Linked DNA regions of Lepisosteus oculatus. The main gene of each other region encodes a partner of the protein of the gene in region 2 in a complex. Links are inferred from orthologs where the notes say so. Each region holds a gene or a part of one and is shown on either strand. Other genes may lie near its edges.

The links. Proteins that work in one complex are often made in the same cells at the same time.
Region 1: the proteins of jarid2a (region 2) and eed are in contact, whole or in part, in a cryo-EM structure (PDB 6C23), measured with the Homo sapiens proteins. The link is inferred for Lepisosteus oculatus from reciprocal best matches to the Homo sapiens genes JARID2 and EED. Residues at the interface, in NP_004964.2 of Homo sapiens: Pro109, Gln114, Arg115, Lys116, Phe117; in NP_003788.2 of Homo sapiens: Pro95, Phe97, Tyr148, Arg306, Asn307, Tyr308, Cys324, Asp362, Ile363, Trp364, Tyr365, Arg414, Asp430.
Region 3: the proteins of jarid2a (region 2) and aebp2 are in contact, whole or in part, in a cryo-EM structure (PDB 8VNZ), measured with the Homo sapiens proteins. The link is inferred for Lepisosteus oculatus from reciprocal best matches to the Homo sapiens genes JARID2 and AEBP2. Residues at the interface, in NP_004964.2 of Homo sapiens: Ser148, Lys151, Pro152, Lys153, Thr154, Glu155, Asp156, Leu158, Thr159; in NP_001107648.1 of Homo sapiens: Arg407, Ala410, Ile411, Asn414, Leu415, Glu420, Ser421.

What each region holds. Positions count from the first base shown.
Region 1 is NC_090710.1:28,192,055-28,202,038, reverse strand, and holds the start of eed (polycomb protein eed), read right to left. Parts: upstream 4,207-9,984; 5' UTR 4,087-4,206; coding exon 3,985-4,086; intron 1,960-3,984; coding exon 1,807-1,959; intron 1,144-1,806; coding exon 1,051-1,143; intron 338-1,050; coding exon 272-337; intron 1-271. UniProt on the Homo sapiens protein: Polycomb group (PcG) protein. Component of the PRC2/EED-EZH2 complex, which methylates 'Lys-9' and 'Lys-27' of histone H3, leading to transcriptional repression of the affected target gene.
Region 2 is NC_090705.1:16,312,642-16,322,237, forward strand, and holds the start of jarid2a (protein Jumonji), read left to right. Parts: upstream 1-5,799; 5' UTR 5,800-6,323; coding exon 6,324-6,368; intron 6,369-9,596.
Region 3 is NC_090702.1:49,795,299-49,805,453, reverse strand, and holds the start of aebp2 (zinc finger protein AEBP2), read right to left. Parts: upstream 4,207-10,155; 5' UTR 4,089-4,206; coding exon 3,502-4,088; intron 1-3,501. UniProt on the Homo sapiens protein: Acts as an accessory subunit for the core Polycomb repressive complex 2 (PRC2), which mediates histone H3K27 (H3K27me3) trimethylation on chromatin leading to transcriptional repression of the affected target gene.

The DNA of each region.
Region 1 (9,984 bases), on a different chromosome or scaffold from region 2:
AAAAAAAAACGCATTTCTGTTTTAGAAGAAGATCTAGCGCCAGGCACTGCTGCAGGAACGCAGATTTGACAGCAGAGGAAGCTTTAGAGCCGCCCTGGTCCTCTGCTCACCACTGCCGAGAGCGTGGAGGCAGGACCAGAGGCTGCCGAGGAACCAGAGGCTCAGATCTCTTCAGTGCCCACACTTCTCTGAGTCACCAGCTCCACACAAGCTCTCCTGCCACTGGACGTAGGACTTCAATGTCAGCCTCAGGTGACAAGGGAAAGGATACATCAGCATCCACGTAGGACTGAAGCAGGCGGATCTCTCCTTGGGAATGGCATTCATACAGAGTAACCTGCAGAAAAAAACAAAAGCTCCACCTTACATTTACAGTGGACGTTAAACTGCTTCTCTTTTAACAGGTAAAAGTTTATTCCATGCTGAAAGGAAAAGAAAAGAGAATGTTTCAACTGTGAAACCTTCTTTTAACTTATACAAGCTATTTGTTGACTTTTTGTTACTGGTAGGTAAACACAGCCAATATATTTATAGAGTGAAAACAGTACCCGAGCTGAGTCATCTGCTTAATCACAGCTTTCACCGCAACTTCACACTAATTTGAATTATACTTGTTTGGTTGACATTGAAAAGCACTGCAGTATAAGATCACTTTACTGGCCATATACAATTTCTTGTATTAGGAATTTGTACCCGAACTTGCCCTCTATGAGACACACAAACAGGGAGAGAAGCTTGGGGTCAGAGCGCAGGGTCAGCCTTTTATACAGCACCCCTGGAGAAGTTGGGGTTAAGGGCCTTGCTCAGGGGCCCAACGGAGTAGGATTCCTCTGCCAGCTGCAGGATATGAACCAGCAACCTTCCAGCCACAGGCGCAGATCCTTAGCCATAGAGCCACCACACTGCCCCGTATGTTGATCACACCAGTTAATAATTCAGATCCTTATTCAGACCCTAGAAATATTCCCCACCAGCTTAAACATACTGTAACCATAGCCATGAAAGTGTCCTGCTGTTTGCACAGGTAACATAACTGGTGCAGGTACTTACCCTGTTGCTTCCCACTGTAGCGAAGACCAGGGGGTCTCCCTCCTTACTGTGCCAGTTAAACTGCACCCCAAACAGAGGCTGCCCATGGTCCTCCTGCGATTCAAAGCAATGGCACCATGAGGCGGGAGAGACAAGTGAAGACCAGCTCTCCAAATCAGGCAGACCACAGACTGGTGGCTCCTTTTATTCCGCCATTTTCAATTATCCTACTGCTCTCATTCTCAAGTGCCTTCCACCAGGAAAGCATGCATAATGGAAAGATGCTTGCTTGGTTATTCACATTCTGCACATTTTAAATATGTCCATTAAGCATCCCCTTTGCACTGCAGGCATTAAAAATTACAGTTTAGGGGAATTGTGAAAGCACAGCTCCATGTCACGTTCCAAAACACCAAGTGCATGTCGAACCTCTCTGAACTGTTAATACTATTAGTCCTGACACTTATATAGAACTTTTCTGGACACTCCACTTAAAGCTCTTTACACACCAGCTCTCAGTGGGCAGGAGAGCAGAGTGATGAAGCCAGTTCAGAGATGGGGATTATTAGGAGGCCATGATTGGTAAAGGCCTGGAGGAAATGTATCCAGGACACCAGGATTAACACCCCTACTCTTTTCGGGAAACGCCCTGGGATTTTTAATGACCACAGAGGTTCGGGACCTCGGTTTTCGTTTCATCCGAAACTGGGAAAAGACCAGTCCTCCTACTTCATACACTCACAAGCTAGTTCAGCACACTCCTGTGGCTACACTCACCTTGAGGCTGTTGACGCACTTGAAGGAGTATTTACACTTCTTGGATTTCCACTTGCCCTTGCCCCAGCTCTTCCTGCCGGGGGCATTGGGCGTGTTGGTGGGGGTGTCTGGGCGCTCGGTGTTGGTCCCACTCTCTATACTGATGGCATCGTCCTGCAACACAGACAGCACAGAGTGGCAGCGTCTTCCTTGGGGCACTTTCCGCCACACATCCAGCGTGGCACACTGATCATTTTAATGCCATGGAGTGGAAAAAAAATAAAACCAAATAAATAAAACCATCTGCAAGGGAGATTTGAGACTGATAACCCTCAGAAGACTGACTGTTGATCCTCACAATTAACTGCATTGTAATTTATGGGACTCTGCATACAATGGGACACTTTGAGACAGGGAAAGATTCCGAAAGCTGACCGGAAATTGAACTAAAAATGTACATTCAGCTTTGTAACCTGGGATGAAAACTGGTCTGTAATGCCCAAATTCAGGAAATGTGAAATCCCGATCGGCTGCTCCCTATTCCTGCCAAAAGACAGACTGAAAAGCTGAACAATTTCACTGATTTGTCTGATTGGTATTACACATGGCAAAGATGAGCGAGTTTACAAATTAACAAAGTTTAGTTTAAGAACAGGGTTAAAATCCTGCCCGGCTTCAAAGTCAACAGGAAGTCACTTGACCACCTTGTATTTATTTCAACCAAACGAGTGATTGATTCTTCTATTGCAGCACGCTAGAGAAACCTCATTCAGTACATTTTAAGTACGTTTTCCATTGATGCAATGGCAAACAAATACTCGAATCCAACCGGGTGTCGACCATTACATTAAAAAACGATGAAATATTCTAGAAAATATAATCCCAGTACCCATTTTAATCCTCTTGCACCTCAATAAGGGCAACTAGGTCTGAAGAAATTTCCAGCTCCCAGCACAAAAGCCACACTCAAATCCTGAATTAACCGTGTATGTTGATAAAATAAACAGCAATCATGTGATTTTTTTCGTACCCTGAGTTTGAAAACTCATCGGAATTTTCCGGGCCATTTTCAAGGCTGTTCTATGTAAAGAAAGACGAAAACGTCCTACAAGCTTATTCAACGTGCGGCTCCTTAACCTGTGTCTTCAACAGGAAGACCCTGCATTCACCCGTTCCTTGCTTTAAAATGCTACACATTTTCTAACACTGAAAACATCCGTCTTCGTTTTGAAGACCGTAACAGCTAAAAACGACACGAAATCCTCTATCACACGTACGGCTGAATGAAAACAGCACGTCAGCCCGACAACTGAATGCCCAGTCTCCTTCTCAGACTGTCAATGATGTCTCCGGGGAGCTCTGTCTCTACTGAGCGTCTCGCCATCTCGGCAGTGAGCGGTTCGTTTTGGTGACGTGTTTTAGAGACGAGTGATAAATTCTGTAGCGCTGCTGCAGTAAAGGTGTCCTTCACCCTTCAATTGACTGTTTCTTAAAACAACCGAAACGAAGTACTACAAAGAAAAAACACACACAAAACAAATGGTATTTTAAGCCACCGGTTTAAACGGTATTGGCATTGAAAAGCATTTTGAAGAAGGTCTGAAGTAACGAAGGTTTCGGCACGTTAACTGCTTTCTGACGACCTGTTTAGCAGGATTGTAACGTTATTTTCCAGGAGTGGTGACCGACCGCACGGGGAGACAACGGGCACCTTGAGGCTGGGCACCGCGAATCTCCCCTGTATCTCGCGTTAGAAGAAAAAAAACACATCGAACTAATATAAATAAGTTTGATCTGACGAGAAACATGAAACCCCCCAAAAAATATCAAATTTAGAGAATAAGAGCGCCGAACGAAGACAACTAGGAGCTTGTGTCTGCGGCCGCACGACGAACAGAATATTCCTGATGGAAATACCGTTCCGTTTCTACATCGCCGGGCAAAAATATAATTTCGTGCCAGGAGTAGCCAGCTCTGAACCGAGACTACAGCAGCAGCTGTAACGCCGCCAGCGCGGGTGAGCGGCTCACGCTGTTGCACAGAGATCGGGGCCTCTGCTGTGGTTCAGCAGTCACCCATTTTTACACCCAACTTTTTAGTCTAAAATCGAGACACGGGCGTCAAGGGGAACCTCACGCCGCCCGCATCCCCGACGCTGGAAGTCACCGCTCTCTCTAGAAGCGCTCAGCTCGGCCTTACGTTTTCATCCCCCGAAAGATCGGGGTTGCTGTTCTCGTCGCTGCTCAGTTTCTGCTTTTTCGACGGCATCTCGTTTCCCGCCTCGGCTTGGCTCTCAGACATCTTCCTTCATCTTCCTCTTCCTCTTCCTCCACTTCCCCCTCCCCCCCAGCGCGAGGCCACACCGCCGCAAACCGTTCGGCTCGAGCTGCAGACGCGCGCTGGAAATGGCCGAATCGCCCCGGAAAACTGCAGGCGCGCGCGCGCTCCTGGGGAGGGTGGTCGCTGGCGCGTGACGTCATAACCCCTCGCCGCCGCCGAGCGGAACGCGCGAGCCTACAGGGTTTTAAGGAATGTCCATCTTGACCTGCTGTTTTTTTTTTAAATCTGACCATTATTATATTTTTAACCTGTGTAGTCCCAACAATAAATGGAATACAGCCCGCCCAGTATGTCTGAACCAGAACAGACCACTTATCCAACAGATTTGCCACACTCCCGTAAAGTGATCATAACTGTCGCACTTTCCCCTCGGTTCCACGTTAGTGATATTAAAATGATTACTGCTACGTGACCCAAACTCTGTGCCTTTTCCTATTGATACACTTAAGAACATCAAGGTTTTATCACTATGAAATTCACACACGTGAGGGACGGTGACGTGCTGTAGATTTATTTTTATTTTCCGATAATTCTTTAAAATGAGAAACAAATGTACAAGATTCGCTGTACCGTTCAGGTGTGCGACACGGCAGCTGTGGTACTCGAAGAGCCGCGGGGAAAAGGGAGGCAGATAGATTTTCGATTTATTTTAGTATTTGTGATGTATCGCACCCAGATTAGTTGTTCTGTTTTAATTTGCCGTGTAAATGTTTTAAGGGGCACGTATTGTGTGGCAAGGACAGACAGCCGACAACATAATTTGTAATGTGTTTAGCGCCTCTCGGCAAATATGTACATAATTGCGTGTGCAGTGGTTGTATGCCTTGTGGAAAAAAAGTCAAGGAGCGCCACTGTGTCTGATATCTGATAAGCAGTTCGAGGCTTTACAGTTGTGAGAAAAAGTTTGTGAACCCTTAGGAATTATCTGGATTTCTGCATGAATGGCTCCTAAAATGAGATCTGGTCTTCATCTATCTAATATTTTTTTTTATTTATTTGTCTTATTTAACAACACACACAACATTTTACTTTGTCATATCTTCATTGAACAAATGGTTTAAACAATCAAGGTCATTATGTACAGCATATATCGAGAGCTTGTTCAATTTTGGTTGATACACTGTCAAAATAAAATATGACCATTCGGGGTAAAATAAGAAAAAACAGCGTGAAAAAAGATATTTTTTCTTAAGAACATGGTTAAAAAACAATCCAGCAACAATTGAATTGCGAAAAGTACAAGTAATAGGTTTAAGCAAAAACTTATGTTTATTCCATGCTGAAAAGAAAAAGAAAACTCAAAGCTCTTTACAGGTAATGGGGATCCCCTCCACCACCACCAGTGTGCAGCTCCACCTGGATGATAATAATAATTGCTTACACTCATATAGCGCTTTTCTGGACACTCCGCTCAAAGCACTTTACAGGTAATGGGGACTCCCCTCCACTACCACCAATGTGCAGCCCCACCTGGATGATGCGACGGCAGCCATAGTGCGCCAGAACACTCACCACACATCAGCTCTCAGTGGGGAGAAGAGCAGAGTAATGAAGCCAATTTACAGAGGGGGATTGTTAGGAGGCCATGATTGGTGAGGGCTGGGAAGTTCATGGTCTTCTGGGAAAACTGGCCCTGGTGTGATTGGTGGGATTTGACCCTGAACGGGTTGCAGTTCGAAAACAGAACAATTTGAGGAAAAGGCAGCCAGGTCAAATTGATCTTATTTTGCAGTCAGTTAGGGGTTCAGTTGTGTAGCCAAGAGCTGAGCTGGGACACAACCAGCAGGACCAGGACCGGGAATGTCTGACAGAAAAAAGAGCAGTCTGCCGATGTTCATGTCATGCCCATTTCTCCCTCTTGTGATTACACTTTCAGGTTAGAATTACAGTACATTTCAAACAAACAGTAATTCCAAATGTGAAGATCATTTAGAGAGCCAGTCATTTAATTGCTTACTTCTGTGTATATAATGTGCAGTTAGTGACTAGGTTTATGTTCTTAATTGGTTAAAATGTACAATTTTCTTGGATTGTCAAGTGATTGTAGTTTGTATATATTATTCCCTGAATCTGTTTGTCCACTGTGCATTTGCTTCATCTGGGATAAATCAAATGATTGCAGATGACAACTCACACAGAATAGTTTGAGAACAATAAGGATATTGACAGCTGTATTTTGAGAAACGGCCACCTAGTGGCGTTGTTCTCTTGCCCTTGAATAGCACCGTGAAATAATATCGTCAAAACTGTGCTCAACCAGAATAGTGCTTCATCATTAATCCTGTCAATAATGTCAGGAAAAAAAATTCCACCTCAGAAGCAAGTGTGATTTCTCAAAAGAGAAGGTAATTCATATAGAATAAGTATTGCTGAAAATATTCTCTGCCATCATAGCTTTCAGAATCAGGCTCTTCTGATCTTGTTCTGCCACCTATTTGGTAGTAGAAGGGGATTTTTTAATTGTGTTCTCGATTCTCAAACTATCATCATTCTTTAAAACTCTCTTTTATTGTCATTTCTTAAAGGTCTTAAAATAAAGGTTTGAGTGATCCAGAGATTTACAGTGCTGGTTTCTGAAAGATCCTGCTGTCGGTTCCCTAGGTTTAATCCTGCCTCATGCACAAATGTAGTTGTCCCGGCTAACAAATGTGGCTGCTGCCTATTGCTTTTAAATTGTGTTTGAAACTAATGTGCGAATTAGTTTCACATCTCAAGAACGTTTCATTTTAACACCCTTCTAGTAATGCCAGAAGTGTTATCTCTAAAAAAAAAACCCAATCGAAACTGTCACATTAATTCTACTATCTTTACATCTGCTGGTGATAAGCGAATACATGTCCAACTTGAAATACATTTTATCTGCTACCTTTGAAATTTAAATGTTAACCCCACTTAGTTTCCCTCCCTTATCCCTGAACCCCCAATGTTGTAGATGTATTTAGCAGAATGTCTGAGCTACTTAAATAGCACTTTTCTGGACACTCCACTCAAAGCGCTTTACAGGTAATGGGGAATGAATGATGCACCAGTACACTCTCCACACACCAGCTCTCAGTGTGGAGGAGAACAGAGTGATGAAGCCAGTTCAGAGATGGGGATTATTAGGAGGCCATTAGTGGTAAAGTCCAATGGGTAATTTGGCCAGGATGCCGGGGTAACACCCCTACTGTTTTCAAGAAACACCCTGGGATTTTTAATGACCACAGAGTCAGGACCTTGGTTTTACGTCTCATCCAAAGGACCTTAACCTTAAGACACAGAATTTACAAATCAGGAGTGATAAGGGAATGCGTTCTCTACTGAGAGCCCTGATAGGCTCTAGCCTTAGTCAATACTGCATGCACCACACAAATGCATACGATTGAAAATTCTGTAAGCCAAAATTCACCCAGACCTCGAGTCAGCAGCTGGTAGATACAAGCAAGTGTCAGCAACCTCAGTCACAGAGGTTGATTGTGCTGTGGACAGCACAAACCACGAGTACAAACTGCCCTATGGAACTCTTATTACATATTTCCATTAAGTGCTTAAAGGACAATCAGACAACCTTCTTTTTTGATGTAGGTGTGAGGCAGAAGAACTGTTTTTAGAATCAACTTCACCCTTGAAAAAGGCTCAACAGCTGAAATGTTTGAATTTCTTTCTATGTTTCAGCATGGAAGGACTCTTTACTCATTTCTTTGCAGGCAACGCACACTGATGCAGCTCCTTACTTGAACCTGTTTCCCCCCAGCATCCTTGATGTTTTACAGTGTCCTGCTCTCATGCAGGAATCTACCGTTTGGCTGGGAGGTACTACAATAATCGTAGACTTACTGTCTGTTTCTTTCTTTGTGCTGAAACACATGAAACACTATCATTTTTCTGGTGCACCAAAGGTTCTCTTTTGTTCCATTTATGCAAACACCCATGTAAATGGCACATAAACACTCTGGGGAAACTGATCTCTGAGGGACCTCTTACTTTGAAAAAAAAGAGGTAAAATAGTGTATTTGCAATAAGGACATTTTATGATTCCCTGAAGGAAGCCTGTTTATCTAGAACAGAAAACAGAAAAAAAACAGAAATAATAATAATGATGATGGAAAGTATAGACCACAACCTACACAAAATGTCTGTTCTAATGTTTACGGACTTGACATGACCTTTAAAATATTGTACCAGGAAGTATTTTATCAAAATCTTCTATCTTGCTCTCTAATCAAATACACTGTGTACACAAAGGTGTACTGAGTGTTTTAAAAAAATCTTAAAACAGTTTGACATCAGCTCTGTACTGCATTCTTCCATCTAATAACTTCAGGAAAAGTGACATTCCTTCATCGTCAAACTGCAAAGGAGTTGTCAGACTGCGCAAAGCTATTCAGCTCCAGATTGTTCCAAATCAAGCGTTGCATGTCAAAAGCTAAAATGGTTATGAGCTTTTTTTTTCACTTGTTCCTAATGTTGTTGCACTTACTTTAACACAAGCAATTGCTGTATATGCATAGCATCAAAAGCTATCTATACTGTATAAGCATTTGCTGTATGTGAGCATCAAATTAAATGCATTGGTCGTATCGGCAACAACTTCACTAAGTTATCAGGAAAATGACAAAGCTGGTTTTGTAGCAGGTGCACAGAGTTCTTATCGTACTTACAGGCCACAGCAGCTTCATTATACTGACTGACATTTGTCATCAGCGGATGGTTCACAGGGGTTCTACACAGGCTAGTGACACTTGGGGCTGCCACTGGGAGCACTGCACATTGTACCTATGTACATGACACAAGCTTTCAACCAAGTTTCAGATGCGAGGTTGTCGCGATTTGCCCCCTTCCTCTCAGAGAGCCCAGACAAACCCGGGCCTGTTCACTGGTCTCTGAGCGCCGGATTCCACACGTCTTCCCAGCTCATTCCCTCACCTGGGCTTCAGGCCTGACAGCAGGGGCATCCGTGGCGTAAATACCTCTCCGTCCTCTAACCGCTACGCCGGGCCCAAGGATGGAAAAAAGGGCGTGGCCAGATTAATCTCACCAGCGGTAGAGATTCTGGAGTTTATTGGATGAGGGGATGGTAATAATGTAATAAATGGAAATCGGAGGAGGAGTGGTGGACCACTGAGATGCGCAGGTGAAGCAGGCAGGAGAGGTGCGCAGGAGGGGGCAGATGGATCTGAGGTGGAGTGAGGAAGCGTTGATGGGTGATTAACAGTGGGAGCATCTGGAAACTGGAACTGGAGGACTGAAAATTGGAGGGGGGGGGGCATGATTTGAGGACCCAAGGGACCCGTAAGATCCACTATAGTTAAAGATTCAAATGTCTGAGCCTTGAGGAATGGTTCCCCAGGGTTTTAATAGTCTTTGAGGTTCCCTAATGAGGCTGATAAGCCTGGCCCTGACGAGCTCCTTCCACGTGTGGAAGGTGCTGTGGAACTTGATGGAATTGATGCAGGAGCGTCGGAGCTCATCAGGGCCTCACGCTATCCAACTGATACAGCTGAGGGTCGCGAGGGAGCTGGAGCCTGTCCCAGCAAACGAAGGGCACAAGGCAGGGTGCACCACGGACAGGGCGCCACTCCACTGCAGGCACACACACAGACACAGACCTGTACACACTCACACCAGGGCCGACTTTCCCAGAGGCCAATTAACCCACCTGTCTGTTTCTGGGCAGTCAGAGGAAACCCCATCGGACACGGGGAGAACGCACAAATTCCACGCAGACAGCACCCCAGCAATCGAACCCGGGGCCCCCCGCGCTGCAAGGCTGCAACGCTGACCACCTCACCGCCGCATGGCCTACAGCTGCAAGTATTCTCATCACTAAAAGGTGTGTCACCAGCGAGAGGACGTGCATCACTGGCGTGTTGTCAAGTT
Region 2 (9,596 bases):
ATCACTTTTTCCAGTTCGGGGTCAGGGGGGAGCTGGAGCCTGTCTCAGCAAGAAACAGGCACAAGGCAGGGTACACCCTGAATGGGATGGCACTTTATTGCAGGGCAAACACAGACATGCACACACTCAAACCTAGGGCCAACTTTCCCACCAGCCAATTAGCCTATCTGTATGTTTTTGGAATGTGGAAGAGAACCACAACACCCAGAGGAAGCCCACCTGAACATGAACACAAAAAACCCCAAACAGACAGCAGTTCAGGTGTAGAATTGAACCAAGGGCCTCAGTGCTACAAGGCTGCAAAGGTAACCAAAGCATCGCTGGGCACATGAATAATATTATTTACATTTTAAATAGTGAGAAGAATTGTTCAGTGTTTGGCTAAAACATCCTGATAAGTTTTGGAATCCATCTAAGTAGGATGCCAGGACCAGAGGTGACAAAACAGCCCTAGAGTGTAACAGATTTCTGTTCTTTCCTGGTCATGACATTCTTTTTCAACATGAGCTTCACTTTTCCCTCCTAATTAGAACTCTGGTACAACTGTCCAGATATGTAGTTTGCGATTTATCCAACCGCATAATTTGGTATCGTTTGTCTTGGGAGTGAGTTAGTTGCTTCTACATATTGATAGAATTCTGTTGCAGAACCCCCGGTCATAAGGAGTCTTGGAGGCGTGGTAGCCTGATAAAGACTGTTCCCTAGGTTTTGCCCTTGGAGCCAACAGCACATTTTGGTAAAACTTAACTTACAACAGCTTCCTTTTGGGTCTGCTAATGAGACTTTCACTTCTGTGTTCAGCCTCCCTTAATACCTAGTGCCAATCATGGCGAATTCAGGAAGCTTCCATGAAATTTAAATTTCCACAAATCTCCTTAGTCTTTGTGAAACTACCAACAGACTGCAAACCACATAAAAGGAATAAATTTACAAAATGTATTGTCTAGGTATTTCAAGGCATGAATAAAAATGAACATTGTGAATGCTGAAATATAGTACTGTAATTATTTAATTTTAGTAATGGTTCCTGAGACCCTGTGTTGGAGGAGGGGAATTGTTTTCATATTTTTCCATGTCATACTCAGGAATGAGGGAAACTTCTGGAACACACTCTCATTTAAGTTTGAAAGCTATGTTTGTAAATGTTTTATTTGTTAAAATAAAAAAAGCAATAAATTAAAATGCAACATAAGCTTAAATTAGAGTTTGCTTTTTTTGTTATTAGAACAACATACAGAGACATTTCCTGCTCATACTGAACTATTAAACTACTATTTGTGTTAATATATATGTTGCTATCAGTACTAAAGACAATAACATCAATTTTCTTTCATTGCTGAAGTATTTAAAAGATGAAGTATGTGTGACAGTCACGGCTTCAAACTTGCTAATCATTTGTGTTCCAAGTTTTTCACCTTCCATTATAAGTAGATAAAAAAGCATTTAGTCTTAAAGCATTCATAATTAAATAAAAAATGTATGTCCAGATAATTGTTTTGTTACATTGTAATGTTATTTAGTGTGTTATACCCATTTACAGGTTGTCAATCGTTCTCCTACAGAAAGTGAAGTGTACAGCTCTACTGTTAGGCTATTTTGCTTTCTCCAAGTGAATTAAGATTAGTTTAGATTTCTTACTGAAGAAACATCTCATTGCTACTAGCTTCCCAGCACCCCCCCTTGTTAATGATCATGAATAAAAACAGAAAATTCAGTCCACCTTTGTGTACAAGTGGTGTCTTGGCATCGGCCTTTTCTTTAAATTCACAGGCATGTTGCGCTGTCAGGCACTGAGAATAATGCAAACTGAATGTTTGCCAAACTGAAAAAAGCAATTCCTAAAAACATTACGGCATGAAATGAAAAACAAAGCTGATGTAGAGAAAACCCACACTGTGACCTATGCCGTGAACTTGAGAGGAGGATGGTGGGCAAAAGGAAAAGAACTGGACACTGAAGTGCAATTAGAATCAAATGTGTCGGGCTGTCCAGTGTTGTTAATCAGCTTTGCAGTACCTGATTCTCTCTGTTTCAATTAAGAGAACTGAATTAAGAGATCCAATAGTTTTCTTTTATCGAAGCTCTTCTCCTGTGTGATACCCATTGGTGTGATATGTCTGACAAGAAAACAATTTAAATAGGCCTGTATAGCGGAATGGTACACCCTTTACGCCTTTCAGCAAAGCACACAAAACAAGTACAAGACACAAAGTAGAAGCTTTACCATTCATTGAGGAACACCTCAACAGCTGTATCACCCTGAAACTCACAACTCACAAGTGGCAACAGAGTGAGGCCCTAAGCAGGGGAGAACCTGGTCAGTACCTGGATGGGAGACCTCCTGGCAAAAAGGTTGCTGCTGGAAATTGTGTTAGTGGGGCCAGTAGGGGGTGCTCACCCTGCAGCCTGTGTAGGTCATCATGTTTCAGTATAGTAATGGGGACACTATACTGTAGAAAAGGCACCATCCTTCATATGAGACTTAAAAGAGAGGTCCTGACTCTCTGTGGTCATTAAACATCCCAGGATGTCTTTTGAAAAGAGTAAGGGTATTACCCCAGTGTCCTGGCCAAATTTCCGCCTGGCCTTTACCAATAATGGCCTCCTAATAATCCCCATCTATGAACTGGCGTCATAACTCTTTTCTCCTCCCCACTGATAGCTGTCCAGAAAAGCACTATATAAGTGTAAAGAATTATTATTAACCCATCAACATACACTATCATCTGCATCCTAGGGGGCACCACCTGTAATATATTAGATAAGGGGTCTCAAACTCAGTTCCTGGAGGGGCCTGTGTCTTCTGGTGTCTGGTCCATCTAAGCTCCCCATTCCAAGTTACACTGACACCCCGGAACTGGGCGCTAATGCCAGTGATTAAGCACAGGTGTAATAATAATAGGATTGCAAGAGAAGTAGCAGTTTTTAATTTTATCAACTCATTTTAAAGGCATCATTTCTATAGTTTTAAAGGTCTCTTTACTACCACTCCATCCCCATTACTGATAATGATATGCACTGTTTTGGCAGGGTTGCCAACCTGCAAGGTATTGTAGCCAACAGTTTCACCAAATAAAGGATACATATTCTTTAAAGAATTGTAGGTTTTCACTTGAGTTTCTAGTACTGAGTGTAACACCAGTTTGCCCCCAAATCAAAAAAGCATAAAGTGTTGTCATAGCTGTAGATGTGCAGAAGCAAATATCCAACTTCAGATCATATCCTACTTCAAAATATGGATTTTAGGACCTAATATTTTGGAGAGAAGGCAGCTCCAAACTCATGCAGCTTCCTGATGCTGATGCTCAGTTCTGCTCCATGTCTGCAGCTCTGCATGAGGAGTTCTGACTGACTTGTCCCCGTGGCCAGGCTGCACCCACTCCGCTAAGCAGAGTTACATCAAAAAAGAAAGCTGGAATCACTCTGGTAGGCACTTTAAGCTAAGGGGTGTTATCCAAAACTACAATGATAACACGTATGTGTAAAGAGACAGTCGCAAATCGGTCTTGATTACACTGATTGATTGGATCAACAGCAACATCCTGCTGGTGCAGTCAGGCTAGATGTATTCGGACTGAGCACACGGGTCATGTACACCAAGCACAGACCATCATTGCTCATCTTCAATACCAGGGGTCTCCTCCTAGCCCTGGCCTTGGAAAGACCCTTAAGATCCAGAAGGAAGAGTGGGTAACCACTAAAACACAGGTTTTGTATCATTTGGAAGAACTGAATTATGATCATTTAAGCAAGTGCTTTGTCAAATTTACTTATTTACAAATCACTGACAACACGATTCTGAATACCCTTCAGTTCTCTGTTGTAACTCTTCCCTTAATTGAGTGGCTTGCTTGCTTAATTGATCAATATCTTACTCTTGCACCTAATTGTTAAAAAAAGGAGTAATTTGTGGGTGATGCTTACGACTTACTAGAAAAAGGACTGGTTTGGGGTTGTAGACCCCAAAATGAATGTGAATACGTTGATCTCCAGAACTCCCACAGTAAAGGCATGAACTCTGGTCCCAACAACATTTTGTATATTGTTATTATTATGATTTTGATATTATATATATATTTTTTAAATTATTGCCTTGTCAACGTGACACACCTTTGTAATTGTTACCTCGGACATAGACAGATCAAACTGGGGTAAAGTTATTAGTGGTGTTCCACAGGAATCTGTACTAGGACCACTGTTCTTCTTGATTTTTTATTAGTAGCCTCGATTTTGATCTAGAATGAACAAATGTCTTCCCTTCATTTTAGTATGGAAGCAATAACGAAGTTAAACAGAATGTTAGAAGTTACATTGTAGAATTTAAATCAGTAGATGTTGTTCTAAAATTGAGCAATCTAGTAAGACCTCATTTAAAAATTTAGGTCACTAACTTTAAAAAAGATCTCGCTGCTCTGCAATCAGTCCAGAGAACAGCAACCAGATACAACTGTCTTGAAGGACAGTTCTACACTGACAAACTTAAGGAACAGACCCCTTTTGTCCTGAACAGAGGAGACTATGAGGGGACCTTATTCAAGTAATCAGTATCCTCAAGGGCTCAACTTAGTGAACTTCTTCAGAATGAACGGTGAAACATGAACCTGTGGACACAGGGAGGTACATTTAAAACTGAGAACAGTAGGTACTTCTTTCCACAAAGGGCAGTGGGGGTGTGGAACAACCCATTCACATTGTCGAAGCCAGTGCCCCGGATTCTCTGATGGGAATGAGATCCTTGGATCAGTTACAGCTACTAGCAACCAAACAAACTAGATAATGTCTCCTCGCGTTTGTAACTGGTCTTACTCTGTAATTGAGTTTTGCTGTAATACTCAACGCCCTTTCTTGAATAATTGTCTAGGTCTGTGGAACTCGTTCTCTCCAGTGACAGACAGAGAAAAATTACATTACTGTCTGCTGCTGTGCATTGCATGGTTTAATTGTATCATGTGCTGGGTATACTTGTGATTAGAATCTTCATGAGGGAGGGCGTACAGTATGTCAAGCACTCTACTCTTTTAACCCACGAACGGCTGCCGACGTTCCTCCTGGTCCTTGTGATTCATGTCGGACTTGGAATTAAATGATTAAATTGAGATAACGAGTTTGAAAGTCTTGGATCGATCATACAGTATTCTGCTCGTAAACGATTTAAGGGGAAACGCGATCATTTAATTGTATTTTTTTTTATTTTTAACCTTATCTTTGTTGGATTACCTGCAGACTTCCCATCTGGGTTCTGAGGTGGGCTGGAGTTATGCACCATTGATACAATCTTTTTAAGCAAGTCTAAAGGTTCATGAATCCACACTTTAAAAAAAAGATAGGTCAGACAGCCGTACTAACGAAAATAAAGCCTAACTTACAACGCCGCTGTTCACGGTTTACAAGAGTTCCCTAAAACGAAAAGAGAATACAGTGAGGTGTGTAACTAAATCAGGTTAATAACATTCCTCTCGAGTTTATTAAGTAAACAGAACACAGGGGGCGCTACTTTCATTACTGAGAGGTCTACGTCTGGCTTTAACTTCATACACCAAGCCGTAAAAATGCATCTTGGCCACCAATAACCATTATATCATGCTTGTAAGGTACAGCAACGGCAGTGTGTTTGTATATGTATACATGTGTGCTTTTAAATATGCAGATTCCTCCCCTCTGTACATACACAGAGCCCAGAGCCGGTGGCAGGGAAAATTGTGCTTCGAAGAACGAAGTCGGTTCATGATTTGTACCCGGTCCCTAATGAGCGAAGCCTTTTAAAGTTACCGCTGCGCTGCGCTGGGCTGCGATAGGCTGAGGCCGAGGAAGAAAGAGCATTGCTCAGTGCAGATTAGCAGTGCTGCTGGAGAGTTCAGTCATCTCGTCTGCGAGCTCCAGCCGAAACGTGACTGCGAACCTTTTATTTATTTTCTTATCTTTAAATCCCCTCCCCGAACAAGATGTAGCTTCCAGCAGTACGCAAACGCCCACTAGAATACGCTTCTTAATTTCGCGACACTCGGGGAGAGCGGATGACGTCCTATTTTTTTTGCTTACGAATGGAAGATATCGTGAATTATTATGAGTACGTTATATCGGAGCCCCCTTTTTCTGTGATTGTTTTTCCTGCGTCGTGGATTTCTAACTTGGGATTTACTATCAAATCGAGGCGAGTCCCTGCTCCGTGAAGGCAACGACAAGGAATAAATACGTACTCCCCAGATCTGCGTACCGGGGATTTAAATAGTCTTTGGCGTGTTCTTCAAGAAAAAGCATAAACGAGGAAAGGGAAAAATTCATGTGGCAATTCTCTGTTTAGCAAACACGACTTGGATCGCAGAATGAGCAAGGAACGACCCAAGAGGAATATTATTCAAAAGAAATATGTAAGTTCATTTTTTTTCTGCTGCTGTGCGAGGCAGTGTGGGGTTTTAAATTGACCTTAACAAGTTTCCATGTCCTCTCCGCTTGTTGTGATTAAAATGCATTGAGAACTTTGATCTCGGGCCGATTGGATTGAGTCCGCTGGCGTTTTGCACGTTTTTAGTTATGTAGAAACGTTCCCAGCCCTGGTTTCTAGGTAAAATGTTTTTATTTGCAAAGGGGGAGTTCATTTCGGGTTCTCCGGTGGCTGGGTCTACCGTGCAAATAAGGCAGCCTCGTAGGGGGATCACATTACAGCGTTGTATTTGTTTAGATGATTTTAATAATCAGGCGCGGCGTTACCTACAATAACATTTATTTTCCCAGCAATTGCCATCTGGAATGGCTTTGTTTGTTCCTCATATTCTCGTAATTTTGAGCCGTGCACAGACAGCCATAGCTGTAGGTTGCCTCTGGCTCTTTCCGGGTTTAGCATTGCCCGATGCCATTATCAATTTGTTAATAAACTATCATGTTGTCATCGATTTACTGTGGTTTCACAGATGTGCTCAAGGGTGGGAGCATTACCGGAGAGTTGTAGGTGATTTTTTTAGTTGCGATTAGCGAGGACCACGTTTGCAGAAGTCAAGGCCAGTAGACTGGAGCACGCACACACGGGCAGGGGCTGTTTGATCTTTAATTTCATCGCCGAGACTGGGGGAAAAAAAGGCCCGTTTTGCGTTTTGCCTTTAAATTCCCTGGCTGCCGTGTGGCAACACTGCAAACTTCGCAGCCGTGAATCCCCATGTTTCTGTTCCCGGCGATTTGCAAACCGGTTTTATGGTTGTGGAAATGCACTGTGCGAGTTGTTTTTGTTTCGTTTTGCACGTTTTCTCCGTGTGACCTCTGAGTGGTTGTGAGCAGTCGCCGCAGCCGGGGCTGGCTGCCACGATTATTTCAGGGTTTCTTGGTAAATTTCGTGAAGCACGGAGGGGATTTGGGTTTAATCGTTTTAAGAGATCCGCGTTAAAAACACGCCGCGATGTAACAGTAGCTTTGATTAAGGCGCAAAGGTGACATACTGGGGATCGTTTTAAGAAGGCAGTAATTCCAGTCGCATTGCAGAGGTTCATGTTGTGCGAGAGAACAGCAACCATTTTATCTTTGCAAGGAAGAATAAAAACTACGGATAATATAAACCTTGGGCTCAATCACTAGGAGTGTCGGAAGCAAATCCTTGGCACGACGTCCTGTAGTTATATTTTTTTCGGACGAAGTAGAAGGTTGGGGGCGAGTTAATGCTAAAAAATTAATAACAAAGGGGTTTCTCGTGTCGAGTTGCTAGGCACATTTCTGTAACCTTATTTAGCATTTTAACCCCTAACTTTCTGGACTTAAGTCAGGATTCTGTGTGGGTTTGGGGGTACTATATTCTGAAAATACTTCACTTTTATTCCCCCCTATTTATGTTTTCTTATAGGGCCACTTCTTTTGTCAGTAGTATAAATGTAACCATCATGAGGTACTGCAGGAAAGTAGCCAAGGTTTTTGGAGTTCACTGAAGTCACACGTTCCGTTCATTACTTAGCTGTGGCCCGAGAGCGTTTCTTTATTTTTTTTTCTTGAGCCACGACGCTAACTCTTCAGGGCAGACAGCATGGCCTCTCGGTTTTTTTTCTGCTTTTCAGACGTCTGTACAGACTACGTTTAAAGCAACAGGTCAATCCTATCAATTTCGCTGGGTCTGGGGACAGATCACATTTTCCGGTGTCGCGTTGGCGTTTGCGTGGCTTTTTTTGTTGCAAATGTTGGCATATGGAGAACTACATATTCCTCACTAGTAATATTGAGGAGGTATGATCATGGTTTATTGGCAATCGGGAGAGAGTTGTTTGTGGCTCAGCGTTTCAAGCAAATTTCCTTGTAGTATGGCATTTGTAGTCGTGTGCTGTCCATTTAAAAACTTCTCCCCAAAATAAACACAAATTTAATAAACCTCTACGGGCTACAAGCATGAGGAAATCATTTGTCTGAGGCTTTTAATACTTATGAATGAAGTCATGGTTTGGCTCGTGCGGGCATTTTTTTATTGCAACGATAATCACATACAGCATCAAGCAATAAAATCTCATTTTCCATATTTTTAAGTATTGTAGGAACATGAGTTTTGCTAAAATGTGAACTTACTCGACGTCTGAGTTGTAAAGCTGTAACAGGTGATTTCTTTAAGCACAAAAGACGAGTGACAATCGTTCATCGTTTTCTTTGTGAAGCGTAATGAGGTCTGTATTTTATTGGAAGGTATACATCGTCCCGAAGTTTTTCAGATTGCATCTGTTATGATACAGGCTAAAATAGGATTGGAGTTGTGATGACTGAGGAACAGCTCACGTTTTAACTACAATGTAGAAGCGAATTTGTCTGTCCCCTCTGTGCTGTCCCTTCGGAGGGGGGATGGGGGATGTGTTTGGGTCTAAAGTCTTGGAAAGACGTGCTCACGCACCTTGGTTAGACAGTATGAGTTTGCATAATAGGTTTGTGAAAAATAAACCAGAACGGCACTCTGACCAAAGAGGTATTTTGCACTACGAATAAAAGAGCACTACCTAAGTTAAAATCAGTTTTTCAGAAATCCTCCTTGTGGTTGTAGGTAGTGTTGCTGGAGTGGAAAACTCACTGCTCGAGTTGGAGGCTGGTGAGGTGATTATCAGATCGCCAGTTACACGCTTGCGCACACGGTGCACGTACGCGTACGAGTCCTGTGCCTCGTCCCTGTCCCTTGGATCGATTCTTGCACTGTATTTACAAGACACTGGCGGTGTGCTCTTCAGGCTGTTACACAGTCTGATCGTTCTTTGGTTTTATGCCAAAATGTTTTGAACAATCAGAAGCCACTTAAAGCCTGGAGATATAAAGGGGCTAACTGATGTTTTGAACGACTCGAACTTTCTCCGATATGGATGAAATACTTGTGGTGCTTTTAATTGGTAAGCTTGATTGGTGCGGTGATTTAGATAATAGCTCTAGATGTTGAGATCTGGGTTAGAGACATGGAGTGTTTTTTAGATGTTCCTTTACAGCAATTAAATAAATGGAAATTCCACAGCAGTAAGATTTGATCCTGACTTTTGATAACTGAATATGGTAACTTATCAATATGATATAATACGTGCTTAATTCCCAGCCCTGTCAAGTTGAGATTGCAATTTTGTGACCTTCCTCTTTTGTACACGGAAATGGTATCAGTCAAG
Region 3 (10,155 bases), on a different chromosome or scaffold from region 2:
TAGGAGGCCATGATTAGTAAGGGCCAATTGGAAATTTTGGCCAGGACACCGGGGTTACACCCCTACTCTTTTTTTTGCACTTTGCTACACTGTAAGAACTTGGAACAAAGTACATAGAGAAGGAGAAATAAAGCATGAGATGCTTAGGTTAGAACACATGTTTCCATGTATAATTTTGTCTCTTTCTGCCTTTCAGTGTTATTCAGGAACGGCAACAGAGTTAACTAAGAATCTTACAATCTAAATATATGCAAAGATGAGTTTGATTTAGTTATCTTTCAATAAGTATTTTAAAAGGTGTAAAAACAATTACCAAACTTTTCTAAAATTAGACCTTAGAATCTAAGATCATCCCAGGGAGTCATGTATGTGTGTATCACTTATTTTGCTTCAAGGGGGTAGGCAAACAAGTTCAAATATATCTGTGAGTTGAAACAGCCGTCAATTGCAAGTGAAAACATTCTTTAAAATACACATCCTTGAGGACACACGGTCAGAAAACACTTGTAAAACAATCTAACCATGAGACTGGTCTGTGAGATTTCGATTGACTAAACTACCACCTATCCCACTTGTTATATGACTGCAGGAAAGCGTTTAAAGGAATGTTCACTTCAAAGAGAGTTGGCAAAATTTTGGCCTTAGCATTTCACAACCGACCTAGAAATGATTGATGAAGATAACACAGGCAGAAGGCTTCCAGTCACACCTATAACACAAAGTCTTCCAACAGCATTTTCTCCTTTCCGATTTCATTTTTTTTTTTACTCTTGGCAGCAAGCAATTCCTTCAGAGATATCACTTCGTAAACAGCTGTGATTTGGAAACTGGAAAGAATGCGATTGGACCGCTAAAACATATTTTTCTCACCCTTTTGCCCAGTAAAATTTAATCAAATCACTCCCCTAATAACTGCACAGCATGTCTTTTCTGTGTTTTCTATAAAGTACTGTTTTCAACCGCAACCCAGACCTGTAGGTTAAGTCGCTATTGATAAAGAAAAACGAGGGGACTTTTTTTTACTGCCTACTGACTTGACTAAGGACACTGCGGAGCTTTTAAGCACTGTGGAAACCAAAAAGGGGAAGTAATGAGTCAAATTGGTTATTTTGTAACCTAATTAGCTAATGGGTTAAAAACACTTAAAAAAATAAATGTGCATACAAATAGCTAGGAAAAAGGAACAGGTGTTAAGGAATAAAATTGTAATGGAATTGACGTTCTCATTAAGCAAAACACAAAACAGGTTCTTAAATCGACCAAAGTTGTAACAATGTCAACAGGAGAGCAACAACAGTTGCAATGCGTTTTTAATCCGCCTTTTAATGTTTCATTTCTTACGACATTTGGAGGAGCTCTTAAATGCAAATCCTTTAATGATCCCAATCGCATAATGAAGACAGACCAATGCTTGTCCTTTTTACACGACGTGCTCACACTGTCTTCATTTCGTTGTTGTTGTTTTTTTGTTTATGATAATGACAGTGGGAACAAAAGCCTACTTGCAAGGGGGGGAATTGAAGTTTTTGCCATCTGGAAAATGAGAAGTGGAAAGAAGGGATATGCGTTCATATTCCTGCTATGACCGTAACTCATGGATGAAATTTCCTCAAGAACGGACACCACAGAGAGGGCTAAGCAAATGGGCCGAGTCCGCTGTATTACACTAGTCTGAATTGCGAAGACTGTGCTATTTCAGTGAAGTACGACGTTAAACCACGTAAAATAAAGTATTTTTCACCACTTTGGCGACACACTACGTTCCAGCAATTACATTTGTTTGGCTAGTCATAAAATGGAGAATTACTATACAAACTATGGTGTTAGGGAGAGCAAGTTACAACTAAATAAATGGGCAACATTTGGGGGAAAAAAATCTCTTTTCTGGACTGAAACCCCATCTCCCCTCTCTCTTTCCTGAGCAAGAACGTATGTGCCAACAGACAACAAAAGCTCAGCGATTTTTTTAAGCTTTTTATTATAATTTAAAAAAAACTCCAACCGAACCTTCTCTATACTTAGATATTTAGCGACTTTCTTGGTGTACGTATGCGCCCATAAAGACTAGAAACGACGCGTGTACGTTTTTAAAAAAAACGTGTACAACAATATTAAAACGCTACCAAAATATTCTTTAAATGTGAACGATTCACGTTGCTAATCTTACACGGGGCGTACGGGTTTAAAGCTTTTTGAACTCCACACGACCTCAACTCGGTGCGAGATAATCTTGGTCCTGAAATATCTTGTGCATTTTACTGGATAAAGTTACATTTGCTCCGCGGGAAAGGGAAGCCTAAATTCGGACTTCAGGTCCTATCACACTGCGTTTCATTTTTATTTTGTCCACGATGCTTTAAATCAAAACGTGTCGTTCGCCTTTTTTTTTTTTAAATAGCCTAACCTGGTCCGAGTTTTTCCCCCAATACTGTGGTTTTTTTTTTTCCACCCCAGACCACCACCTGTTCGGGTTTTTTTTCCCGAACCGAATCCGGAGGCCAAGGTCGTCTAAGCACCTTCGCTCATCCTCCACGGCCCTTGTTCACCTTTTCCCGGGCCACGTTAACGACCAAGGCTCCCGATGGTACCGACAACAACAAACCACGGCGGCTATCTGTCGAGATCACGACCACGGCAAGCGAGGCGCGGTGATCGTTTGCAAACTTGAGATGGCACCCATACCCCCCGACACGGCAAGCATGCGGCCACTGAAACGGGGCAGAAACTCGGATGGCGAGCTGGCTGCGTCTTTCACCATCCTTACCCACGGGTGCCGATCAACTGGATCATTGATAACTCGGTGCTGGGGGGGGGGGGGGGGGTTCAGTTTTTTTTTTCCTCCTTCAATTGTAAGCCTCTCGCATCGTCATCAGCCCCAGTGACCACCGTCCGTCCATATTGCACCCGACCCCATTCACATTCACGTCAGCTACACGTGTGCTTTCACTGTGGGGGCAAACTGACCCCCTCCAGAAAGACATACAGAACAGATTTTAATTTTAAATCCCCTTTCGCACGCAGGGAGGTTGTGCGAGGGTTTAAAACGTCCCCCCCGTTGTTTTAAGACGTCATGCCCCCCCCCATCCGAAACCGAGCGCGACGCTCAATCCGCAGGAGGAGGAGAGAAAAAAAAATTGAACTGGACAAACTCGCACAGAAAACGGGCGAAAAGCGACCCACGGGTGGCGTCATTACGGGTACAAAACACGCACACGAGAACGAGCCAAAAAGCCCATCAGAGGGCGATGGTACCGTGCACCCTCCTGCTTATAAATCAGCAACTAAAAAAAAAGGGCTCTTATGCGCAAAACTAAAGCGCCGGTCGGGGGCAGGACCTGTGATTTTGTGTTTTAACTCAATTTCCACAAGTTGGAGAGACTTCATGCCCCCGCCGATGCCATCGAGCCGGCGAAGGGAGGGCAGATCACCTAACTGTAGCGGGCTCGCCTTTCCTGTTGAATTTGTGGGGTGTGTTCCCCTCCCCCGTGAAGTTTCACCGACCTGTCTTCCGAGTCCATGCGGCTCAGCGGCTCCCCGTCCGACGATGACATCTCCACGCTGGCCCTCCGCTTCTTGGCGGCCCCGTGTTCGCTCTCCCCGCTGCCGTTTTTCTCCGGGGCATCCTCGCCTTTGCTCTTGTTGCAGTCGCTGGAGCCGGACTCGCTCTCCTCCCTTTGTCCGGGCTTCAGCTCCTTCTCCGCGCCGTCCCCGGGGTCGCTGCTGCTCGCCGGGCTCCGCTGCTCCGAGCTCTCCTCGCCCGCGGCGCTCTCGCAGCTCATCTCCTCATCCTCCTCCTCGTCTTCCTCCTCGTCCCCGGGCGCCCCTGATGCTTCGGCTGCCCTGGCTGCAGACGAGGGTTTCACGTCCACACCTCCTCCTTCTCCTTCTTCTTCTTCGTCGTCGTCGTCTTCCCTGTCCCGGTTGCCGTTCGTTTCTTCCATTTTCACCGCCTGCCCGTCACCCGGCTCTTGTCCCGGCAGCGGCAGGCCTCGCATCTGGTCCTCGGTCTCTCCTGTCGGCGGCGCCCCGTTCTCGTTGCTAGGTGATGGGGAATCTTGCTCGGCGCTATCGGTGGAAGCGGCAGCCATCTTTGCGAGAAATGTCTGTTTTTTTTCCCCCCCCTGCGTCTGTCTCTGCTATTCACACACACACATAACAGAGAGTGCAGTAGATCCACAGGAGGTTGAAACAGGGACGGTGGAGGAGGAGGTGGTCAGTGACGTCATGACACATGTTCACGTTCATTCAAAACGCCAACACGTGCTCTGGAAAGTACTACAAGCTTCGTTTTGCACCAAGGGTGCGTAGACATCTGGACCTTGCACAGGTTGTAGGCACGCTTTTCGTTTCTTTAAAACTCTTTTGGGCGTTATGCGTTTGAAAGGTTATTCCAAAACAGAAAAGGCCACTACTTATATGGTTATTTTAGTGATTGCAGAAGAGCTTGATTGTACCAGTGCTTTCATTTTAACAGAGCTATGACTAATCTTCCAATTAATGCTTTTAGGCTTTTAGGAACCTGTGCTTTTTTTTTTTGACTGCTGTCTACTTAACATTATTGAGAAAGTAAAAGAAGCCCTGAAAAAAAGCAAACTACCTTATTCATTTAAAGTTTTCAACTGAGACTAGATTAGATGTTTTTATTTTAAAATGTGTTTTCTTTGGATGATTCCGTTCTTCTCACCGATAGTTGTGTTTGTGTATAAGAGTTTGCTTTTGATGTAAAAAACATAATCAAACGGTAATTAATCAAAACAACTTATTCCCCAGTTTAAAATGTTACAGCTTTTCAGGGTGATTTTCTTAAGTGTCTTCTACCTACTTTTCAAACTTAAGTATATTATTTTTTTAAGATGTTAACCGCGTTTGGTTGAAAAGGTCAGTAACAATGTTGAATTTTGTGGTGTAACATTTGCCTGTTAGAACATCCAGCAATGACTGAGTGTCAATTCAGAATCGGCAAAGACTATTTACTGTACCTGAACAGCAGTGCATTGTGGTACTTTGAGTCATAGTTCTTTCAGTATCCCACAGTGACTTCCAACACGGAGCATCAGGAGGATCAGTGCTCATGGCATGAGCAAAAGTACCTTTCTTATTAAGTCTTCAATTAACGGTATGGGTTCCTGTGGTTTTAAGTCTAACCCAGAAACACAGGGTTTAAAGCAGAACAAACTCTAGGCTGGATGTCATTCAATCTCAAGGCATTCCTACACTCCCCAGCAAAACATGAGAAGTGCTCCTCAGTGCCCCCTCCTGATAATGTTACAGGGGAGCATGACAGTGGCCAGGAAGAGCCTCCTGCTCTTGCAGAAATGTCCAGTGTCCCCATGGCAGCAGCTAAGTGCATGTCACACAACAGAACTCGAAACGACTTCTAGTCGGAGAGCAAGTCAAATTTAACGACTGCAGTTGCTAAATCTCACTGCCTTTGCTGTCCTAGAGGGTGTCAAACTATACGACTAGGAATCGCAGGGTGTGACTAATTACACGATTCCCTCATGACTTTTCGTCGCGGTTCCAAATCTCGCACTGCGCTGTGAAAGTACCACGGGGCTGCCTCGTTTTGGTAGCCAATCAACGTGGAGCACACCGGAATAAGAGGAGGAGCACCGCACGAAAGCTAAGAACAAACACGAAATATCAAACAGACATCTGTGCTGGCTCCAGAGTTCGACGAGCCTCTCCTCCATTTGCACAGTCCAAAACACTCGCTTTCCTTCTTTCCTTGCAGCTGCATAATTCTTCACTGTTTGTGGGCGTTGTCTGCATTGTACTTCTGGTTGAGCACTCATTGGCTGTGACTGTCACAGACACAAGAGCCCGCCCCTACTTGTGACTTGCAACTGGCTACGAGAAAAACAAACCTGTTTGATATCGTAGGAGTCGCGGAGTGTCGTAGGGGCTATAACTGAGTCGCTTGGGGTGTCACACTACATACCTGACGGAAACGGGCATGCACTGCGACTCTCTCCAACTCGCTGTGATTTTCTTACGATCATGTAAATGAAGGCTACGACTGAAAATCCTAGTAAAAGTCGTGTAGTGTGATGTAGCCAACCCAAAGTGCCTCGGGTTCAGTTTCATGGACTACCGGCAACAGCATTTCCTCAGCACTCGCAGGATGACCAGTGGGCAGTGCCTCTCCTTGCGTCTGCAGGTAGTGATGACGATGTGTCACAGGGTGCGACGAGTCTCTCTACTTGAGAGAGCCCAGCTCGCGTCACAGCCCCTCTGTGTTCAACGCTAAGCCCAGGACAGGGGTGCTGACAGTGGCGGCTGGCCCCAACAACTCCTTCTGGGCTTCTGCCTGCTCTCAGGACCCATGTGCAGGACCTTCCAAGTTCAGGTGCTGAACTCCAGAGCGATGCTCCGCTTCAAAGTCATGAAGTCAAGACTGGACCACCTGTCCTTCAGGCTTCTGGAAGCTGAAGCCTCATCTGGTTTGGCAGATGCTCTGGTCCCTGGGGAGGCAAGTCCAGCTGAAGCCCTGGATGAGGGCATAGAGTGGTCTTCTCACATCAGACTCGACTTCCCAGCTTGTGCTGAGGAGACCTCCTCAGCCTTCCTCTTCTGCGAGGCTCCTGAGGTGCTGCTGGGGCCATGTTCAAGCTATAGAGTTAGTGTGCTCCCCTGTCTGTCTGCTCCAGGGGTACCCATTCCTGATCTTGGAAGCCAACACACCTACATGTTTTCATTCTATTCAATCTCTTTACTTTATTCAAGCCTTAGTTGATCTATTGATGTGCTTGTTTGGAACGTTTGCAAACGTTTGAGTGGCTTGTGAAATGCAGAAGTTAAAGCAAAACAGTTTGAGTGAATCATATTATTAAATCAATAAAGGGTTCAACTATGTAACTGAGGACTTGGCAGAAACAAAATCCAGGTGTGTAGACCTCCCAGGATCAGTTCTGGGAACTGCTGGTCTGCACTACCAGTATGTGAAATTGGTGGTCATCTGCTTCTGGGAGGGCTGGCAGCTGAACCTCCGGTTGTTCCTGAGCCCATCATGAATGGCAGTTGTCCTTCACCTCAGTCCAATGTCTGCCCAGCATCTGCATTCTCCTCTCTCCCCTATAGGCAGAGTCCGTGGATTTATCATTGACAAGGCAGAAACAACATAAATGAGTGTCTTGCATTGCAGGCCCCCAAAGATGCACTGGAAATCTATACAGTGTAAATCTAGACAGTGCAGGCTATTTTCCTCACTGCCTTACGCCACCTATAATATTTCTACAGTCTTTCAGCTGTGGGATTGGCTGGGATGTTAAGCCGACCAGCCCTCGCCTCAGGTGCCCTGTTCGCGCTCTCCTGCGTCTACTTGGCAGGGTGGCAAAACTGCCACTGGAGACGGCCATTCTGTCCACTCCTCCAGCATCTGCTCCCCAGACTGTCTTGTGATTGCCTCATGGCATGGCCTTGCTGTCTGCTGCTTCCTGTGTCTCAGCTGACCAGAACTCGGGGGGAGTGCTTTGTTCGGCCTGTTCTGAAACGATGACCCAGACTTGAACAGCATACGCTTCACCCAGACTGGTGATCTCAGAAAGGGCGACTTGCTGACGAAATCCAACCAGTCCCAGTCCCCCGAGGAATGCGCCAAACACCGGCACCTCGTTTCTGCCTCCGTTCCGGGATCACTCTGCTTCAACAAGTGCTGCAGGTTTGCTACAAGGGATCTCAGGCTCCACACCTCCAGCCTCCTCCACCCGGCCGGCCTCTGGCAATATTTTCTCAAGAGGTGCTCAAGTGTGGCGAGTAGAAGCTGATAACAGAAGGCCTGTTCTCTGTCTAGATCCACAAGGATCTGCTGTGCCCGGCCCTGTCATGCTGACAGTGCCTCGGCTCGAGGATCATTGCCGGGCTGGGGTCCCTCGCTGCCTCCTCCTCTATCTTCCTGGGCACTGGAGGCTGTCGTCCACAGTGCCCCGGCACTTCTCTGTGCCAGACAGGAGAAAAAGCCGCATCATTCCTCCCACTTCTCTGGTGCCGATGTAGTACTCCTCCCTGCTGTTTGCAAAGGCTTGATGCTCACTCTGCAGCTCTGCCTTGTTGCAGTTCTCACCACACCCTCCTAGGGTGCCGAGACCACCACCCCCCCTCCCCCAAATACCGATGACCCCTGTGAGGAGCCACCTCCCACACACACTGCCCTTAGCTGCTTTGCATGCTGGTACACATGCATATTTAAGAAGAACCCATACACACAGGACAAGCACCACAGTGCTAACAGATCAATAACTTGAAGTGTTTGCCACAGTTCCTGGCAGGCCCTTATGCAAACATGCTGTGGAGCTCCAGGGCATCACAGCTCCACAGCTCTATCTCTTGGCACACGGCCAATACAATATACTGTAATTCGACATGAGGGAGGGGTATCAGGGCGACACACACTGATATCCTCTGTTCCGAAGTGCTGTTTCTTGAGTAAACCTTTTTAATTGCCACATGGTCAGAGCACATCAACATCTGTGCCATAAATTTCATGACTAGGTTCAGATATGCTTCCCTGATTTAGAAAATTGTTTTATGATTGAACTGATGAATGTATGTGTCAGAATTATTTGTTTCCTACATCCTAAAAAGTAAGATGAAATCTGTACTGCACAAGAATATGTAAAAATCCAATGTGTCGTGGAGTTGTAAGATTTTTCTCTTCAGCTACCCTGGGGTAGAGGAAAGTGGAGTTCAAAGAAATATAATTGAACTCTCTTCTGCTGGTCCCTGCTGACTGATTTTCATTGGCATGAAAACCAATCTGCAATTTTCGTCTAAGAGCTGGTGCTTAACAGAAATAAAAGGCTTATTAAAAAGGGACAAGTTCCTGGCTTAGCTGGTCTGAGCCCCAGTCTGTAAGACTGGGTAAGAAATCAGTCTTCAGCTCTCACCACTAGGAGGTGCAGTGATTCTTCTCAGAACCTTGGTCTGGCTCTGTTATTTATTTTAATGGTGGGGATATAAAGGCAGTGCCTGTTCTAAAAACACACTGCTTGCTGTCTCCTCTCAGCTTTAAAGCTGGGTTTCAGTGATTTTTCCACTCTGTTGCCGTGGAAGAAAAAGGCTCTCATTAGACAGCTACTTCAGAAAGATCTTGTTCTTTCATGAGAAACAGTAGCCCCTGTACTGTCACTGCAGTCCAACGTAGTAGTAAAATCTGTTTTTTTTCTACCCTAAATAAATGATGTAATATATATATGTGTGGACAAGAAAATAGTTATTAATTTAAAAGAAAAGTCAGGTAGAAGTGTATGGGCTTTTTTTCACAGGCAATAGTAGTAGTTACAGCTGATTGCAGGAATTCATGCTCAGCCATGAATTCTCGACAACCTCATTTTTAAAATTAAATGGATATACATTAAAATACATTACTGGTACAGTTCATGACAAATATAGTCTCCCTTTTGGGAATTGTGAAGGTGTTGACTCATTTTGAAGGATAAATCCTGCCTCCTTCCTATTCCTGGTGACCAGCCTGAATGCTGGATATACTATAAGAAGAAAGGAAAGATGTGAAATAAAACAGTTATTGTTCAGTTACATTAGATAAACAGGCAGCGTGAATCCAAGATAAGTCATTGTTATCTAAGAGGATTCTGGGGCATAGTCCACACGGATGTAGAAAAGGAAGATTTTGTTAAATCCGTGAAGCACTCCTTGAATGGGCGACAGTAATGGAATCAGACAGACCAAATGATATTTTATATTTAGATATGCAAAAGGTTAATCACAGCCATTCATTGCAAGATTGACTGTTTTCTGTAGCTAACCTAACATTCATCCATTGAGAGAAATGCTGCCTTTGTGAGATTGAGCTTCTAAATGTGCAAAACAAAGGTCATTCAGATCTATGCAAGATGAGCATCACATGCCGAGTATGAAACGGGAGCTGAAAACACATGATACAGATACTGAGAGCATAACAATAATAATTTGGCTATTTAACACTGTAGGAATGAGAAAAACAGTTCATAAAATGTTGCGGTATTGACAATAGTAGGGAAATGTTATTTGGAGCCTTTAAAATAATGTTTGGTGCAGTATATTAAAGGTGTACATGCCAGATGGAAACCTAGCAACAACAACCATTAATTATTTTGCTGTCATGATCTTGTGAATATGATCAGAAGAGTACTTGCATTTTTTGTTTGTTTGTTTTTA